Linked DNA regions of Mus musculus. The protein of the gene in region 4 binds, or shares a complex with, the protein of the main gene of each other region. Links are inferred from orthologs where the notes say so. Each region holds a gene or a part of one and is shown on either strand. Other genes may lie near its edges.

Region 1 (4,237 bases), on a different chromosome or scaffold from region 4:
GACAGCTACAGTATATTCACATACATTAAATACATAAATTTTTTTTTAAACAGAAGTCTCTGCTCAGAATAGTAAATCTCCCTAAAGGCTTAAAGGTATAGTTCCAGTGGTTGTGCCTACACACACACACATACATACACACACGCACACACACACACACACACACTTTCCTATCTACCCTCTCTTTTTTTTCTCTTTTCTCATCTCTGCTGTGTGGCCCTGGCTGGTATTGAACTTGAGAATACTCCTGCCTCAGTGGTTTGGTTTTTCTTTCTTTTTTAAAAAATAGGGTCTCACTGTCTAGCCTTGGCTGGCCTGGAACTCCCTATGTAGACCAGGCTGGCCTTGAACTCACAGAGATCCTCCTGCCTCTGCCTGGGAAAGCTATGACTAAAGGTGTGTGTCACCAAGCCTGGCCCTCACTGGCTCTTCAAACTACTTTCTCGTGTGTTGAACAAATGAGAAATAGGTTTCAAGTTGAGGAATCCTGTCCACTAGAAACTGACTGTTGGGGCTAATCAGGCACCAGTCTTAGAGAATATTTTTTGTTTGTTTCTTTTTGTCTGAAATCACAGGCCAATCAGGAAGTGATGGGCGTCCCAGAAGGGGAGTCACCTTTACACTGCCTCCACCCCCTAGTAACGGACTGACTTCCTGCATGCTTTCTGTGACAGACCTGTGGTAAAAAGCTTGTGGCTCTGTCTGGGGCCGGACCGCTCTGGCACCCTTGAGGAGCTGTTGTTCAAGTTAGGACCCTGACCCTCGCGGAGCCTTGGTTCCTGCTAGCTAATAAAGACTCGGGTGGAACCCTGCAGACACACCCCAGAGCTTGGCTTTTACGAGAGGGGTGGGATCGGAATCTGCGTTTTCTCTGAAGCTGCCAGTTTTGCTTCAAAGTGCTGTAAGGTTTTTGTAAAGGTTCACACTTGCCGTTTCATTTCCCCATGTCTTCCAGGTGTATGGTCTCTCGTGGAATTTACCTCAAGTATACACTAGAGTTCCCGGATACTCCAAGCTAGGCTTGTCCTGGAACCACAGCACCCCATTTTCTGTGTTAAAGACTAGCAGAGATTAGATCATCAAACCAGATTTCCTAGGGGGCGCCAGAAAAAATTCTCATCTCCAGGAGATGCCCTCTGATTGAACCCCAGGAACTAACTTAAATTTGGCGGCTCTCACTCTGAAGCCCTTTCGGCTTCAAAACCCCCAAACTGCTATGTCCAGTGGGCAGTTCGTCCTGCCATCTAAACTTGGGTGTCCGTTATCTTACCTGCTCAGCGGACTAGGTGGGCTTTACCCGGAGACAGGGGACTGGCCACGGAGGACAGCTAGGGCAGGAAGGAGAGGCCCTGGGCGGAGAAGGCGGGACGCGCGGGCGGACCCGGCGACTCTGCTAGGGCACCGCCCCTGCGTCTCCGCGCACACCCGGAAGCCGCGCGCAGCAGAGCCAGGCGAGTGTGCGGCGGCCAGGTTAGTGCGGAGGGTGGGTGGGCTCCCTCGGTGCAGCCCCAGCAAAGCGAGAGATCTGGCTTCCCGAGGGCGAGCACCGCGCGGTGGTGACACGCGATTGCTGGCCAGTTAGTGGCAGCGGCCGGTCGGACTGTTTTGGTGGGAGGTACGAGGGACTTCGGACCTCCACCTTCTCTGGTTTTTTGTCCCAACTAAGGGTTTCTGGTGGGTGTCAGGGCCCTGCGGAGGAGGGGATATGGCTGCAGGGCTGGCCGGGAACGGTTCTGAGAACCCTCTTCCTGTCTGAGCCCAGTCGTGCGCGAACCCCCAGTTTGAAGGTGGGGTAGTGGGCAGACTGGGAACCTTCCTAGGCCAGGTCGCTTACTGCGCACCCGAGCAGGGGGCGTGTTCTGATGGTCTGGGAATCTCAAACTTTCTTTGAGTTGGGAGCCAAGCCCTTCCACCTAGCCAGAAGTGGGGCTACCTGGGGACTGTTATTTGTTAATGAGACCGGACATCTGGGTAGAGTCATTTGTTCTGGAACCCAGCGTAGAAGCCTCCTGGTGGAAGGAGGCCTGAGAAGGATTCTTTTTTCATTTTGGTTTTCCGAGACGGGGTTTCTCTGTGTACCCCTGGCTGTCCTGGAACGCACTCTGTAGTGCCAGGCTGGCCTCGAACTCACAGAGATCTGCCTGTCTCTGCTTCCTGAGTGCTGGGATTAAAGGGGTGCACCACCACCACTCGGTTTGGAAACGAATTTTTTTTTTTAAAAGACACACACACACACACACACACACACACACACACACACACACACACACACACGAGATTCAGATGCACCAGAAGAGGGCATCGGTTCCCATTACAAATGGTCGTGAGCCATCATGTGGATGCTGAGAATTCAGGACCTCTGAAGAGCAGTCAGTGCTCTTATCTGCTGAGGGAAGGATTCCTAAGGGGACAGTGAGAAACCAGTTCCCTCCATCTTGTCTGTTCTATTAACCTCACTTCTCCAACTCCGCGAACTCCAAGGCGGCTATTTCCCCTATTTGCCCAGTACTAGTGAATTTACATATCGATTACTCTGCCATCTCCAGCTCTACCGCACTTGTGCTGACAGGCCTGGTGGATAGTACCCCGACACACACCAGTACAGTTCCAAATCTTCTCCTACCCCTTGGGATGGGATCACATCCATGGGATAGAAGGGTAGGAAAGTGAACTAGATGTTTCATGAATCACGAGCTACTTCTTAGACGTCCTTGCTTGTTTTATACCTCGGTAGCTGAAGAGTTACATCGTGATGTTTTTGCCTTACTTTTTACTAAAGACATTTATGGGCTGGGGTGGGGCTCAGTGGCTGAGAACTACCGTACACCTGGCTCAGGGTTCAATCCCAAGTACGGAAGTCACTGGAGCCCTGCCCTGTAGAACTTCCTGGTGTTCTTGCTCTTGGTTCCTGAGGGCTGAGGTTACAGATAGGATGCCATCACCTCAAGTTCTCTCCTTTTCTTTTTTGGCTTTTTGAGCCAGGATCTTACTCTGTAGACCAGGCTGCCCCCTCAAACTCAGAGATTTGACTGCCTCTGCCTCCCGAATACTGGGATTAAAGGAATATTTCATTTACAATCCACCTCCTCTGCTTTTTTTTTTTTTCCTTTTTGAGACAGGGTTTGTCTGTGTAGCCCTGGCTGTCCTGGAACTCACTCTGTAGACCAGGCTAGCCTCAAACTCAGAAACCCACCTTCCTCTGCCTCCCAAGTGCTGGGATTAAAGAAGGTGTGTGCCACCACCGCCCAGCGACTCTTTCTTTCTTTCTTTCTTTCTTTCTTTCTTTCTTTCTTTCTTTCTTTCCTTCCTTCCTTCCTTCCTTCCTTCCTTCCTTTCTCTCTCTCTCTCTCTCTCTCTCTCTCTCTCTCTCTCTCTCTCTCTCTTTCTTTCTTTCATTCTTGTTATTTGAGACAGGGTTTCTCTGTGTAGCTTTGGCTGTCCTGGAACTCACTCTGTAGACCAGGCTGGCCTCGAACTTAGAAATCCACCTGCCTCTGCCTCCCGAATAAGAAACATGTCTCTTATATATAAAGTAGGAGATATTGCTTAATACAAAGAAAATTAAAACCATCCCAACCTGCCCAGAGATAGACAATAATTTTCAGACTGTTTTAGTAAATATATGTATATTAGTATTAAATTTTCTGATGGAAGAGGAGTTTCAAAAATCTATGTTCCTTAGCTGGGCAGTGTTGATGCACGCCTTTAATCCCAGCACTTGGGAGAAAGAGGCAGTGGATCTCTTGAGTCTGAGGATAGCCTGGTCTACAGAATGAGATCCAGGGCAGCCAGGGGTACCTTGTCTCAGAAAACAAACACCCCAACAAACCAACCAACCAAAAACATACAAAAACCCCGTGTCCCCATGCTTAGACCTAGATAGGGCCATGGACAGTTCATCATTTCCCTCCACCAGGTCTATGCTATGCCCTGCCCAGGTGCTTTCTTCTTAACCTTGACTCTCTATTAGAGGTTTGGAAGCAAGATTTTAACAGGAGATGGATGGAAGTGATCCTGGCGTTGAGGGGCCCTCATGTCTCATGTGGAAAGTTAGGGAATTTGTTTAGGAATAGCCAAAGAGAACACGGGCCCAATCACAAAGCAGGATGACTTAGCGCGCATAACTGAGCAGTCAAGGATGGTCCGAGATAGCTGGATCCGTGAGTGCATGTCCTGTCCTCAGGCGGGCGTGGCAGCACTTGCAGATAGACCGCTGTGAGTCAGAGGCCAGCTTCCT
Region 2 (4,349 bases), about 25 Mb from region 4:
TGATCTTTGTGATTTTTTTCAAATGTGAATCACTGTATGTATGTAGCTAGACCGTATAAAAAATCTTTGGGCATGGGCAGGCTAAAAAGATGGCTCAGCAGTTCATAGAGCACTGGCTCCTCTTTGAGAGAGATCTTGGGTTTGATTCCCAGTACAGTACAGAACCCACTACTGTTCTAACTCCAGTTCCAGAGGATGCAATGCCCTCTTCTGACCTTTATGGGTACTGCACACAAGTGGTTCAGAGACTACTTCAAAATATTGATATGCATAAACATAAAAACGCAGCTTTGGAAGATTTGTACTTTGAGCGTCAAACCAGGGAATTGTGGGTGGCACAGAGCTCAATAAACCAGGCTCATCCAGTTGGAGGACCATGAGCCTCCTGAAAAGCCAGCTTGACACACTTCGTTGGGCACACCTGTGTGTAGGTGGAAGGCCAGCCAAATTCATCATACAGTAAGAGTGGGGATAGTCACGTGGCTTTTTGTTTTAGAATAGTTCTGCATAGAAGAGCAGCTACCTGGATGTAGGGTAATGATATTGCAAATCCATCTTCCTTAGAGATAAAAATAAATGAGCTTGAAAGAACACTTGGTTTGCTTCAGATTGATGTATAGCCAGAGGGTATGCGTGCTTGTGTAAAATAACTGGGCCACAACTGAAGATGGAGAGTGGAGGCCATTGGATTCCTCATCTTTTAAGTTTGATGACTCTCCGGAGCCAACAGCTGTTTCCTGGATACCACAGGGGCAGGTGTGGCCAACAGAGCAGGCCAGAAGCGATGGCTTTTGTGGGATTAAGCTATAGAAGTCCCCGTAGTGCCCCTTAAATTCCTGCCTCCCCTCAGTCTGAGGCTACACTCAGAAGAAGCCAACATGGAGTGCCCTCACGGAGTAGCAGGAACTGAGACTCCTCAGGAGGAACTGGAGTGGCTGGCACAAGCACACGACCGGGAACCCCCCCAGCCAGGCCCTCCACTAAGGAGGCTCCATCCTCAGCGTCGTGAAACACGCCTGGCGGTGATGGTGCACGCCTTCAATCTCAGCATCCTGGAGGCAGAGGCGGGCGCGTCTCAGGGATGAGGTTCAAGATAGGCAGGCAGCCCGTTCCAAGGAAAACCGCTCCTCACAGCAAAACCATACAACTTCTAACATACGGGGGCTCGGGGGGCACGCAGTCCCCAGAGCAATGCGCCAGGCAGCACAGCTACAGGGCACTGCGGTCGGTGAGGACTGTGGTTCTGTTGACTCTGAGGACAATGGGACAAGGGCCAGGCACGGCAATCAGGGAACCCTGGGAGCCACAGAATGGCCGCGCGACGCTGCTCTGGAAGAGCCGGCTCTCGTGTCCCACAAACCCTCGCACCCGGCATTCGGCAGAAGGCGCGAGGGCGCCGGCCCACGCGGGACGCGCCCACGAGGCCCGCAGCAAAATGGCGACGGCGCCGACCCGCGCCCCCTGGCGGCGCATGCGCAAGGCGACCCCGCCCGCGAGAGCGGAAGTCTTGTGACCCCGGAAGTGACCGTCCGAGCGGCGGGCGGCGGACGACGTTCGTCATTTGGTGCGGGAGGGAGCGCGAGAGCGGCGGTCGAGCCTCCGGTGAGTGGGCGCGTGGCGCAGCGCGGTGCAGTGCGGGAGGGGAGTGGGTTGGCTTTGTGCGGCGTCGCGGGCGACTGCGGCGCTCGCGGGCGGGGCGCGGTCACCCGGGCGGGCGGGCGGGGCGGGCCAGGGCGGCAGCGCAGGTCCTGCCGGAGGGGCCGCGGCCCCCCGGGCCTGCGCGCCTGCTACCAGGGGACCCCCTTCCTCGGCCTCGCGGGCGGGGTCCGGCGCGGGGCCTGGCCCGGGGCTCCCGCCGCGCGGCCCCGCCCCGCTCGGATTGCGGGCTCTACGGAAGTGCGGGCCGCGCCCTGATGCTGTCGCCGGCGGCCACGCTTGGCGTCGGGTGGGGTTGTCTGTAGCCTCCGGGTTTCGGACCGCCGCTTTATGTGTTTCCTTGGCGGACACCTCTCAGAGGGACAACGGCCGGGCTCTTCCCGGGACCGCTGCGCATTGCCTGTAGGCATCACAGTGGGTTTCCGAGAGACGTTTGGGAATCTGCGGAACTGAAAGGCATCTAGGCGCTTCCGTCCTGGTTGGTTCCTCACCGCCACTAAAGGTTTAGGGTCAGGGCCCAGAAACAGGCTCCTGAGATTTATTTGCAAGCGGTGCACTAGCTCCCAAGTTGCATACGCAGACCCTCACTAGAGAGGACAGACCTGCGTATTTAGGATCCCCTTTGGGCTCTTGGGATTTAAGCGGTCATCACATAGTTGAGCTTAGGACAGTATTCCATTGGAAGGGACGAACAAACAGACCCTTGTCCTGCACGTGGCTAACATACAGAGCATCTCCCTGTCGGAGAACTTACCTCCATGACCCAACCCAGTAAGATGAGAGCCTGGGCAGCTAGGGACAGCAACAGGACCCCAGGGATTTAGTGTTGCGTCTGCCAGTTCAGTTCGGTCTGGAGGCTTATTCTTAGTGGGGAGGAAAGGTGTTTTGCTTCTCTGAGGAACAGGCTGTGGTCCCATTTCGTTGCTTGGGGTTCTAGTCCTCTCAAATGGGCCTCTGCGTAGGGCAGTGGCAGCATCCTCTCAAAGTTCCAGTCAGGTGTCCTGCAGGTGTCAGGGTCTGCCTAGGGTGGAATGCCTCCAGGCTGTCACAGTCCTGCTCATGCCCCGCCCACAGGTGTCCCAAGCTAGAGGTAAGCATGGCAGAACAGGAACCCACTGCTGAGCAGCTTGCGCAGATAGCTGCAGAGAATGAGGAAGATGAGCACTCTGTGAACTACAAGCCTCCAGCCCAGAAGAGCATCCAGGAGATCCAGGAACTGGACAAGGACGATGAAAGCCTCCGAAAGTACAAGGAGGCCCTGCTGGGCCGAGTAGCTGTCTCTGCAGGTAGGTGGCTTGGAGGAAGGATGTCATCTAAACCTGTGCCCAGTCTCTTTCCAGACCACTCTTCCAAGGAGTGAGTTTAAAAAGAAAAATCTTAAGGGATGGGACTCTGACTCTTAACTCTCACTCTGCAGACCCCAACGTCCCCAATGTCATTGTGACTCGACTGACCTTGGTATGCAGCACTGCCCCAGGCCCTCTGGAACTGGACCTGACAGGTGAGTGGGTATTAGAATCCCTGGGTGGGGCCAGCTGGCATCTTGCCTCTACCCCTAAAAATAATTTTCTGCACTGATGCCCTCTGGTGGAGAAGAGGGGAAGTGCAGCTAGGGGCTTGCCGAAGCTCTGCTTTGTGTCAGGGAAGGGGCTGGGGAGAGTGAATGTAGCAGGGTGGAGAGCCCTTCAAGCAAGCAGTCAGCGGAGACTCCTCCTCAATACAGGTGATCTGGAGAGCTTCAAGAAACAGTCGTTTGTCTTGAAGGAAGGTGTGGAGTACCGGATAAAAATCTCTTTCCGGGTAAGGTGGGGGCTTTGAGAGGCCTGGAAACAAGGGGCAGAGGGGCAAGCCTGGGAAGGCAGCTGACCCTGGCTCTGTGTCCCCACAGGTGAACAGAGAGATCGTGTCCGGCATGAAGTACATCCAACACACATACAGGAAAGGGGTCAAAAGTGAGTGGGCGGGCCATAGAGTGGGGAGCCATTGGGCCTGGGAGGGGCGTGCAGCACCAGTAATCCTGCCTCTCCTGTCCCTCAGTTGACAAGACTGACTACATGGTCGGGAGCTATGGGCCGAGGGCCGAGGAGTATGAGTTCCTGACACCCATGGAGGAGGCTCCCAAAGGCATGCTTGCTCGGGGCAGTTACAACATCAAGTCGCGCTTCACAGATGACGACAAGACTGACCACCTGTCCTGGGAGTGGAATCTCACCATCAAAAAGGAGTGGAAGGACTGAGCTCCAGCTGGGAGACGGGCAGGGCGACGGACAGACAGAAGGACCGACATGCCCCACCCTAACCCCCTACCTACCCCAAACCAAAGTGCTGACAGGACCTCCCTCACCCGTCATTCCTCCCTAGTCCACTCAGGCAGTCAGCTCTCCTGTCTGCCCCTCCTCCACCTCCTGCCCGCAGGCCCCTGTGGTCTCCAGTGTCACATTGCTGCTTCTGCCTGTGCAGTGGGGGAGGGGTTCCAGCCCAGGCCTCCAATCTGCTGTGTCCCTCCAGGTTCCCTCTGTCTTCCCTTCCTCAGGCCCTGGCTTCTAGAATGGAACAGAACACTGTCAGGGTTGTCCAGCCCACCTTGTCTCTGTCGCAGCATGGGGAAGGGCTGGGCTATCTGTCCTCTAGTCCCACCACTCCCTGGCCAGGTCATCCATCACTGTCAGTCACTGTCTAACCATGATGCCTTA
Region 3 (4,295 bases), on a different chromosome or scaffold from region 4:
GTGTGTATATATACATACATACATACAGCATGTATACGTATATATATTCTTAGTTGAGATATATACACATTATATTGTAAGTACATATTTTTATATTTTTGTATTTTGTTTATGTGTATGTGTGTTGCCTGCAGAAGCCAGAAGTGTTGGTCAGATTCCCTGGAGCTGGAGAGCAGGCAGCTGTGAGCTACTAGATTCGAGTACTGATAACAAACCTCAGATCCTCTGGAAGAACAAGCCCTCTTAACGGCTTACCCATGACTCCAGCCCAAGAAAACATAATCTTAGAATGTAGACTTGTAAAAAACTATTAAGAACTAGAGTATAGGGAAGGAAATGTCGGTGTTATATATATTACACTAATAATATAAGGGACAATTACAGATTGTAGTATCCTGGTGCGTGTAGGATCGTGGAACTATATCGCTCACAAATATGAGATATTTGCGCCAAACATCGTACTGAACAGTTATCTAAGTAGAAAGGTGTTTACAGTAAAAAGATGAAATAGTGCTGGATTTTGGTTGTTTGGTTTTGTTTGTTTTTGCCTTTGTTTTTCTTTTTGGATGGAAGACTTCCCAAACACAAGAAATGGTTTTATATTTCTATTTGTGAGTAGGCTTTGAGGAATAAAAGAAGAAACCGTTTCCTGGTAAGGGAGCAAGTCATATAAGCTAAACACCTCAATTTGTCACACTGACAGCGCTAGCCTCTCTACCTCACTTCTCACAAGTGGCAGCCACTGAGTAAAGACTGGAGTGGAAGCAACCAGATGGTTTACAGCTCAGGAAGTGGGGCACCAGGCTCCCCAGCAGTAGTCACCCCACACCCTATCACGTCCAGGGTTTGGAGTCTAAGGAAGACACTCGGGCCAAAGGAAAATCCAGCCGACCCACCTGACACCAGACTGGAGAACTCCGGAGGGATTTTCCCCGGAGGAAATCTTTTCCAAGCCTCAGCGATGTCCACCCGGCTTGTGGGGGGAGGGAGGCCTCTGAGACACGCCCATGATCTGCAGAGGGAGGAGCCGGCAGAGGGAGGAGCCCGCAGAGAGGGGAGCTTGCAGAGGGAGGAGCCGGCAGAGGGAGGAGCCCGCAAAGATGGGAGATTACAGAGGGAGGGGCCGGCGGAAGGAGGAGCCAGAGGACAGAAGAGCGGGCGGAGGAGGAGCCGGCGGAGGGAGGAGCTGGGGGAGGGCGGAGCCGACGGAGGGAGGAGCTGGCAGAAGGAGGAGCCGGCGGAGGGCGGAGCCGGCGGAGGGAGGAGCTGGCAGAGGGAGGAGCCGGCGGAGGGAGGAGCTGGCAGAGGGAGGAGCTCACAGAGAGAGGAGATTGCAGAGGGAGGAGCCGGCAGAGGGAGGAGACCGCGGAGGGAGGAGCCGGCGGAGGGAGGAGCCGGCGGAGGGAGGAGCCGGCGGAGGGAGGAGCCGGCGGAGGGAGAAGCCAGGGGTAGGAGGCAGGGGCTGAGGAGTTGGTGAAGGTAGGAGCCCGCCCAGGGAGGGCCGGCGGAGGGAGGAGCCCGCCGAGTCCAGGAGGAGGGAGGAGGACGGTCCACCCCGGCGCGGCCGCAGACCCGACGGGCTCCCTGGCACAGCTGACCGGGCCGGAACTGCAGCGGCCACGCGGGAATGGGCCGCCCCGGGACCTAGCGCCGCGGCCAGGGTCGGGCGGAGCCGCCGCGCAGCCGGAGCCATGAACGGGGACGCCATCTGCAGCGCGCTACCCCCCATCCCGTACCACAAGCTCGCCGACCTGCACTACCTCAGCCGGGGCGCCTCTGGCACGGTCTCGTCGGCACGACACGCAGACTGGCGCGTGCGGGTGGCAGTGAAGCACCTACACATCCACACGCCGCTGCTCGACAGGTAGGGCGCCGGCGCGGGGCCCCACACAGACGCGGGCTGGGTGGTCCACAGACCGGCCGCACTATGGCGATGCGCCGGCTCCGCCGCGGCGAGTCCTTAAGTCCTTGGGCTAACCTGATCCAAGGGAGAAACCATCCTGGACGTGCGTCAGACTTTGCAACTCGCCCTGCCTCTCCTCCCACCCGAGGTGTTCCCACTCTCCAAAAACCTGCAATCACGGCCACCTCTAAAACCCTGTTTATTGAACCCGACGTGTGTTGGTACAGTGCTTGTGGGCTTTGCTTTGTTTTAGCTAGCTGTTAGCGGTAAGAGCTGTGGAACTCTAAAAACTGCTCTTGGAAATGAAGTACGCAGTGACTGCAAAATACACACCGGAGTTTGAGCATTTAGCACTAAAAAGAAAAATAATAATACTATACCGGTGTTTTTATATTGATTAAACGTCAAAATATTTTTCTAGGGTTTTATGTGTGTTTCACTCCTGCTCCTGAGCCTGCATATTATGGCTTGGTTTGGTTTGATTTGGTTGGTTTTGTTTTCTTTGTGGTTTATTACGTGCCCTCATGAAGTTCAGTTATCAAATTCTACATTACCAGTTGTTATTCGAGCTCTTGCCTTGGAAGTCCCCAAAGGAAGTGTGCAATGTTTTTTGTAACAGTAAAATGAATCAAAAGCTATTAAATGGTCAAAATTTGTGAAGAATAAAAGTTTTGACCATCCCTTGCCCTGGTATTATTTGTGTCCAGCTCCCACATATTCAGAAGAAAGAAAAAAAAAAAGCGTTGGTTTCTGTTTCTAGGAAAACATTACAACTAAATACCATAGATCTGTGGCTGTATGTGTTAGTCAATGGATCTAGTCAGAACTCTTGTGTGTTTCACTTCCATCAGAAATTGAACTAGACCTTCATTCAGTTCTTAGTGCACTTGCTAACCTTGGTGGCTACAGGCCTCTTCTCCTGCTGGATCTAGTGTGAAAATACAGAGATCATAGCGGCCCTATTGGTCAGAGGCTGTTAACCCTGGGTATCAGGTCAGATACAGCATCAGATAACTAACTCTCTTGCTTCAGCCCTGGTAGAATGTTGGACTTTCATCTGCCTGGAGGCGCCCTCCCTCCCTCCAAGGGCTAGATCACAGTGTATGTGGAGCCAGTGCTGTGTGTGTGTGTGTGTGTGTGTGTGTGTGTGTGTGTGTGTGTTCACGTGTTCGAGCACGTGCGCCTAAGTAGTCAACTTTAAAGGGAGGTTGGTTAGTACCAAGCAAACGAATGGTCTATGGAAATGTAGCACTAATAGACCACTAGGTAGACTAAAGCTAGTTGCTTTCTCACTTTTGATTCTGCTTTTCAAAGCTTCGTTTGTGCCATTTGTAGGCCAAGGGAAAAAGATGGACAGGATGGTATTGCTTTCCCATATTCACCAACCACTTATGGTATAATTTCCTTGCATTGGATAGGGCATTGTCTTTATAAAACCAGCACAATCCCCTACCTTACTGCATTGCATTCTTTTATCTTGCTGTCTAAGATCTTACCATGAGCACAGGCCTAGGCTTATGCAACTGACTCTGAGGGTGTCTTACTTCCTCACCTGTTAAATATGAATAATAAACACTGTATGTATATTTGTTGTGCTCTGGTGTGGATAATGTACCCATTGTTCTTTAAGATTACCTGAAAAGAAAATAAGTCTAGGTGACGTTGCATATTATTTTAATAATTAGTGAGTCACTCTCCATTGCCAGTGAGTGGGACTTCCATAGCAGTCTTCCAGCCTTAATGGACTGATGACTCTGATTGGTTGTTCAAGTACCCTAGAGATGGAGAGCTGTTTCCTATTGACATTTTGAGTTAGGCCATTTTCATGATACAATTATTGAAGCTGTATTTTGCATTTTAAGTTTCTAAAAATCTTTTGCTTTTGTTTTCCCCCTCAATCTTGTTGAATTCTAACCTCACAAACTATCTGATTTGCTTTTCTCATCAAACAATAGAATAGAAAAGCACAGATGTTAGAGTACCAGGGCTACAATTTAAATCTGACTTAAACCCTGTCACTTTGTATTGTTGTCACCAAAGGATCATTCATTTTTTTCTGACTGTAGATGCTCCAATATGTAAACCAGAGAGAATGAAACAAGCTTTAGAGAGTTGATTCAAGGGTTGGACTGTATATAAAATGGCTGGCAGGGAGGAGGAATACATCATACCTTTCTATGTTTGTATGTACATGCATGTGTTTGTATTAGCATACACACATAGGAGATCCATGTGCTGCTGACCCACATGCATGATGGGTAGGCCAGAGGTCAACTTCAGGTATTGTTCCTCAGGACCATTAAGAGAGAGAGAGAGAGAGAGAGAGAGAGAGAGAGAGAGAGAGAGAGAGAGAGAGAGAGGAGAAGAGAGTATCTTTAATGTTTTGGAGTGT
Region 4 (3,556 bases):
AGAAGTCATTCTAACTCCTCTCTCAGCGATTATATGGGTGACAAACAGCATCTGGAAGGCGCCATAGATGCCAGAGTCTGAATCAGGCTTCCTTCCAGCCTAGAGCAGGCTTTCTGCTCTGGAGTCAGGCTGGGGACTCACAGGAGTGAGGGGCCTTCAGCTATGAGGCCAGATGTGGGTGGTGATGATGGCTATAGCATCCCAAATCAAATTAGCCCCGAGTGACACCAGGGGATTACTCCCGTCTCTGGACCTAAGTGTTTTCTGGTAGCCGTAGGGTCACGATAAGGCTGTTGGGGTGAGTGACACATTCTCCTCGCGGTGTCTGGAGATGAGGTAGCATTGTGGCCATTTAATGAGACAGAGTTGGTTGAAAAAAAATGGCCAGATAATGAAGGAAGTGGTTCCAGGGAACAAAAGAGGTGTGGCAAGTGGGGGCATGGCAAGTACGATAATGTGGGCCATGCTTGGAGGGCTCTCCTCTACTGAGGGCTGTAGACAAGAGAAAGCTGTGGGCCTGCCTTATCCAGATAACTCACCTGAAAGAGATAGAGAGATCCTGGGACAGGAGGAGGCAGCTGAGAGCCAGGGTATAGGCACCACGGTCACTGGTAGTGTTCTTCTCCAAGGGGTCAACTGGTATTGGTTTGTTGCTTGTTTGTTTGTTTTCATTCTGTTCATCAGCGGGTGGCCTGCCCATGGATCTATTTGTCTTTGAATTTGAACCTCAGGTTGCCCTCACATTGAGCAGGCAAGAGCATCCCCTTCAGGGACGTCCCTAGTTTTCCCGGAGAGGGAATGGCCTTTGACACAGGTCCAATGAGAGGAGCATGGTACCCCAGCCCGTGGTGACCTGGAGAGAGAAGACAGCCGCAGCTTTGGAGATTCCCGATCCTGATGGAGGCAACACAGTTTCTGCCTTCCATTGGCCTCTTGTGGAATAGAAGCTACAGATGCCCTGTCCTTGGGCCGGGGAGGGGTCCTGACAACCAGCCAGGGCCTCCTCCATACCCAGACTTGAGCTTGCTCTAGTAGTAGAGCAGAGAAGCCTGGCAAGCTACACAGAGGCCCTAAACATGCTTGCAGTTCTTTGATGAATAGGTGGAGAGGGATGGGGCAGAGGCCCCAGGGTGGCTGTGGTGGAGATTTCCACGGGTCAAGACAGGCAAATGGCCTCAGAGGCTAAGCTGAGCGGGGAGAGAGCTTCGGCAGTCAGGCAGCAGGAAGCAGGAAGCTCAGTTCTGTGGGCAAGTCTAGATCAGCCGGTGGTGCACAAGGTCGGGGTTGTGATTAGAGGAGAGGGAGGACCTGGTTGGAAAAGGGGCAGGCTCCGTCTTGCAAGGAATCATTTCTTCCCAGACGCGATCCTTCTTTCTCAGTCATCTTGGCAGAAGGCACCCCCTGACCCCCCAGTAACATTTATCCTTATATTGTTCTTTCTGTTCCAACGTCTGAAGGGTTAAATGTTGGCCCTGAGGCCAAACATCCCTTTCAGGAAATGGAATTTGATTCTTGGGTTGGCAGCCCACTCTTGTCCAATGTTAAATACTCGCCCGCATATACATTTCAGGTGTCAACATGGTGACTCACCCAGCCTTGGGGCAGACGCCCGGCCTCCTTACCGCATTGAAGTTTAGGAGGGGTCACCTGCTCCCTCTTCTTCCTGATAGCTCCCATTCCGGAAATGGCTGTCAGGACCTGCCAAGTGTTTAGCGGGTTGGAACGTCAGAGGACAGGCCCACATCTGGATCTCGTCTCCAACCCTATCAGAGAGGCTGGGGGCGGGGGTGAGGGGAGGTGTCCTGGACACTCGACACTGCCTTTAGCCCTTCTCTGAGGCTCCTTCATTTCTGTATCGCTCACCCACCCACATCAACCTCGGGGGCAGGACTGTCAATCTAAACTGAGTCACATCTGCAACCTCTGGATTCAGGCTACACCTTCAACCTTCCCTGTTCCCCTAGCGGATCATAAGAAGGTCCTCTAGGGTCTAATGCCCAGACAGGGCTGTCTCTCCCACTTCCCACCCTCTCCTTCCAGCCCTGCCCGGTACTGGGATGGGGGTGGGGTGGGACTGGGCAGCAGATGGCAACCTTCCCCACACTGCCAGTCAAATGGATTCCAGACTCACATCTGGGGTCCTTACCCCTCAGAAGGTGCTGAAAATGGGGCCTTTGAAGCATCTCTGTCCCGAGCCAGGGAGACCCAGAGGACTAGTGGGCAGCTTTAACTCCAGCTTGGGTGGGCACACTGTAGACTGGGCGGGGCAGAGCTGGGTAGCAAAGTGTCCTCCCCTTAACCTTACAAGCATACCCTGTCTGCTTTCCCTCCCTGTTTTCCCTGCGTGGGAAGTGAGAATGGATAGGACAGGCTGCTTTGCCCAGACAAGTATCCCCCAGGCCACCATCCAGAGCCTACAACCCCTAGCCCTGCCTCTGGCTGGGTGGCAGAATGGAAAATCCCACCCACTAGTGCCAAGAGGGGCTGGAGCCTCTGCCAGGAAGGCTGGCAATGTCCAAATGGCATGAGCGGGCCTAGATGGGTGGCCAAGCACAGAATTGCTCCTTCTGAGGCAGGGTCTAGTTCGTAGGCCCTCCCTCCGCCAGCTGTCTGCTTCCTGCTAACGAGGGTGCCAGCTGTCTAACCCACTCTTCTCTAGATGCCAGGGCTAGGCTGTTTTGGGAGTGGGGGGTGTCAGGCGTTACAAGAAACATGCTGGCCACTGTTCAAGGACTGGCTGGGGGTGAAGTAAGCCAGTTATACATCTAGTGCCAGCCTAGGCCTGGAGCATCTGAGACAGGAAGGGGCTGAGTGCCACCTGCCGGGCAGCATCTCTGATCAGGCCTCTGATCAGCTCTAAGTGCCCTATCCTTCCTGAAGGCTGTGGTCACTAAGTCAGAGCAATTCCATTCCTCAAAGCAATTAAGTCATTGCTCCAGCTTAAAGATGCTCTACAGCATGCAGGCTTCTTGGTGTTCATGCGTGGCTGCTGGCAGACACTAGAATCCTGGTTCTGCAGCCTAAGCCAAAAAGTTGTTTAAAGACCATTTCTTTTCAGAAAGCCCATTCTCTAGATGGGGAAGTCGAGGCCCCATACTGATAGAAGTCTCCTGTCATACAGCTCTTGCTCTTCTTTTCTAAACTGCATGTGCACAGTCCCAGCTTCCACCCCCATGCGTAACAGCCTGGCCCTGTGTGCCTGGAGGCTCATGATGAAGCCCTGGAAAGCTGGAGCTAAGGGGAAGGCCTGGGTAGGTCCTAACTCCTGTGGCCCTGTTCCTCAGAGATCCCTGGCCGATGGATCACAAGGTCTACGCCCCCGGAGGGCTCTGACGTCACAACACCCAGCACCCAGGAGCCGGAGGCACCTCCAGAGCGAGACCTCATAGCCAGCACAGTGGCCGATACGGTGACCACTGTGATGGGCAGCTCCCAGCCTGTAGTGACCCGAGGCACCGCTGACAACCTCATTCCTGTCTATTGCTCCATCTTGGCTGCTGTGGTTGTGGGCCTTGTGGCCTATATTGCTTTCAAGAGGTAAGAGGGGGCACACTGA

What was found.
Region 1: the proteins of Ngfr (region 4) and Tradd are in contact, whole or in part, in an NMR structure (PDB 7CSQ), measured with the Homo sapiens proteins. The link is inferred for Mus musculus from reciprocal best matches to the Homo sapiens genes NGFR and TRADD. Residues at the interface, in NP_002498.1 of Homo sapiens: Glu345, Glu346, Glu348, Lys349, Leu350, Asn352, Gly353, Ser354, Ala355, Glu379, Ala380, Cys381, Arg384, Glu420; in NP_001310481.1 of Homo sapiens: Thr201, Phe202, Asn211, Ala275, Glu276, Arg278, Arg279, Thr281, Gln283, Arg284, Glu287.
Region 2: the proteins of Ngfr (region 4) and Arhgdia are in contact, whole or in part, in an NMR structure (PDB 8X8T), measured with the Homo sapiens proteins. The link is inferred for Mus musculus from reciprocal best matches to the Homo sapiens genes NGFR and ARHGDIA. Residues at the interface, in NP_002498.1 of Homo sapiens: Arg274, Trp275, Ser277, Cys278, Lys279, Gln280, Lys282, Gln283, Gly284, Ala285, Ser287, Arg288, Pro289, Val290, Asn291, Gln292, Thr293, Pro294, Pro295, Pro296, Glu299, Lys300, Leu301, Ile307, Ser308, Val309, Gln312, Ser313, Asp316, Gln317; in NP_001172006.1 of Homo sapiens: Ala8, Glu9, Leu11, Ala12, Gln13, Ile14, Ala15, Ala16, Glu17, Asn18, Glu19, Glu20, Asp21, Glu22, Val25, Pro30, Ala31, Gln32, Lys33, Ile35, Gln36, Glu37, Ile38, Gln39, Glu40, Leu41, Asp42, Lys43, Asp44, Asp45.
Region 3: the proteins of Ngfr (region 4) and Ripk2 are in contact, whole or in part, in an NMR structure (PDB 2N83), measured with the Homo sapiens proteins. The link is inferred for Mus musculus from reciprocal best matches to the Homo sapiens genes NGFR and RIPK2. Residues at the interface, in NP_002498.1 of Homo sapiens: Gly334, Leu335, Ser338, Leu339, Pro340, Lys343, Val347, Ser354, Ala355, Asp357, Arg360, His361, Gly364, Glu365, Tyr368, Pro370, Ile373, Asp374, Leu398, Asp399, Leu401, Leu402, Arg406, Arg407, Ile408, Gln409, Arg410, Ala411, Asp412, Val414; in NP_003812.1 of Homo sapiens: Gln437, Ser465, Arg466, Asp467, Leu468, Met470, Glu472, Asp495, Ile496, Gln497, Gly498, Glu499, Glu500, Lys503, Ile523, Leu524, Val526, Ser527, Arg528, Ser529, Pro530, Ser531, Leu532, Asn533, Leu534, Gln536.

The regions. Positions count from the first base shown.
Region 1 is NC_000074.6:105,261,794-105,266,030, reverse strand, and holds the start of Tradd (tumor necrosis factor receptor type 1-associated DEATH domain protein), read left to right. Parts: upstream 1-1,436; 5' UTR 1,437-1,470; intron 1,471-4,237. UniProt on the Homo sapiens protein: Adapter molecule for TNFRSF1A/TNFR1 that specifically associates with the cytoplasmic domain of activated TNFRSF1A/TNFR1 mediating its interaction with FADD.
Region 2 is NC_000077.6:120,578,775-120,583,123, reverse strand, and holds the start of Arhgdia (rho GDP-dissociation inhibitor 1), read left to right. Parts: upstream 1-1,499; 5' UTR 1,500-1,602; intron 1,603-1,876; exon of another isoform or gene 1,877-2,134; intron 2,135-2,730; 5' UTR 2,731-2,752; coding exon 2,753-2,942; intron 2,943-3,073; coding exon 3,074-3,157; intron 3,158-3,379; coding exon 3,380-3,456; intron 3,457-3,544; coding exon 3,545-3,608; intron 3,609-3,693; coding exon 3,694-3,893; 3' UTR 3,894-4,349. UniProt on the Homo sapiens protein: Controls Rho proteins homeostasis. Regulates the GDP/GTP exchange reaction of the Rho proteins by inhibiting the dissociation of GDP from them, and the subsequent binding of GTP to them.
Region 3 is NC_000070.6:16,160,793-16,165,087, reverse strand, and holds the start of Ripk2 (receptor-interacting serine/threonine-protein kinase 2), read left to right. Parts: upstream 1-1,444; 5' UTR 1,445-1,691; coding exon 1,692-1,864; intron 1,865-4,295.
Region 4 is NC_000077.6:95,574,172-95,577,727, reverse strand, and holds part of Ngfr (tumor necrosis factor receptor superfamily member 16 precursor), read left to right. Parts: intron 1-3,284; coding exon 3,285-3,537; intron 3,538-3,556. UniProt on the Homo sapiens protein: Low affinity receptor which can bind to NGF, BDNF, NTF3, and NTF4. Forms a heterodimeric receptor with SORCS2 that binds the precursor forms of NGF, BDNF and NTF3 with high affinity, and has much lower affinity for mature NGF and BDNF.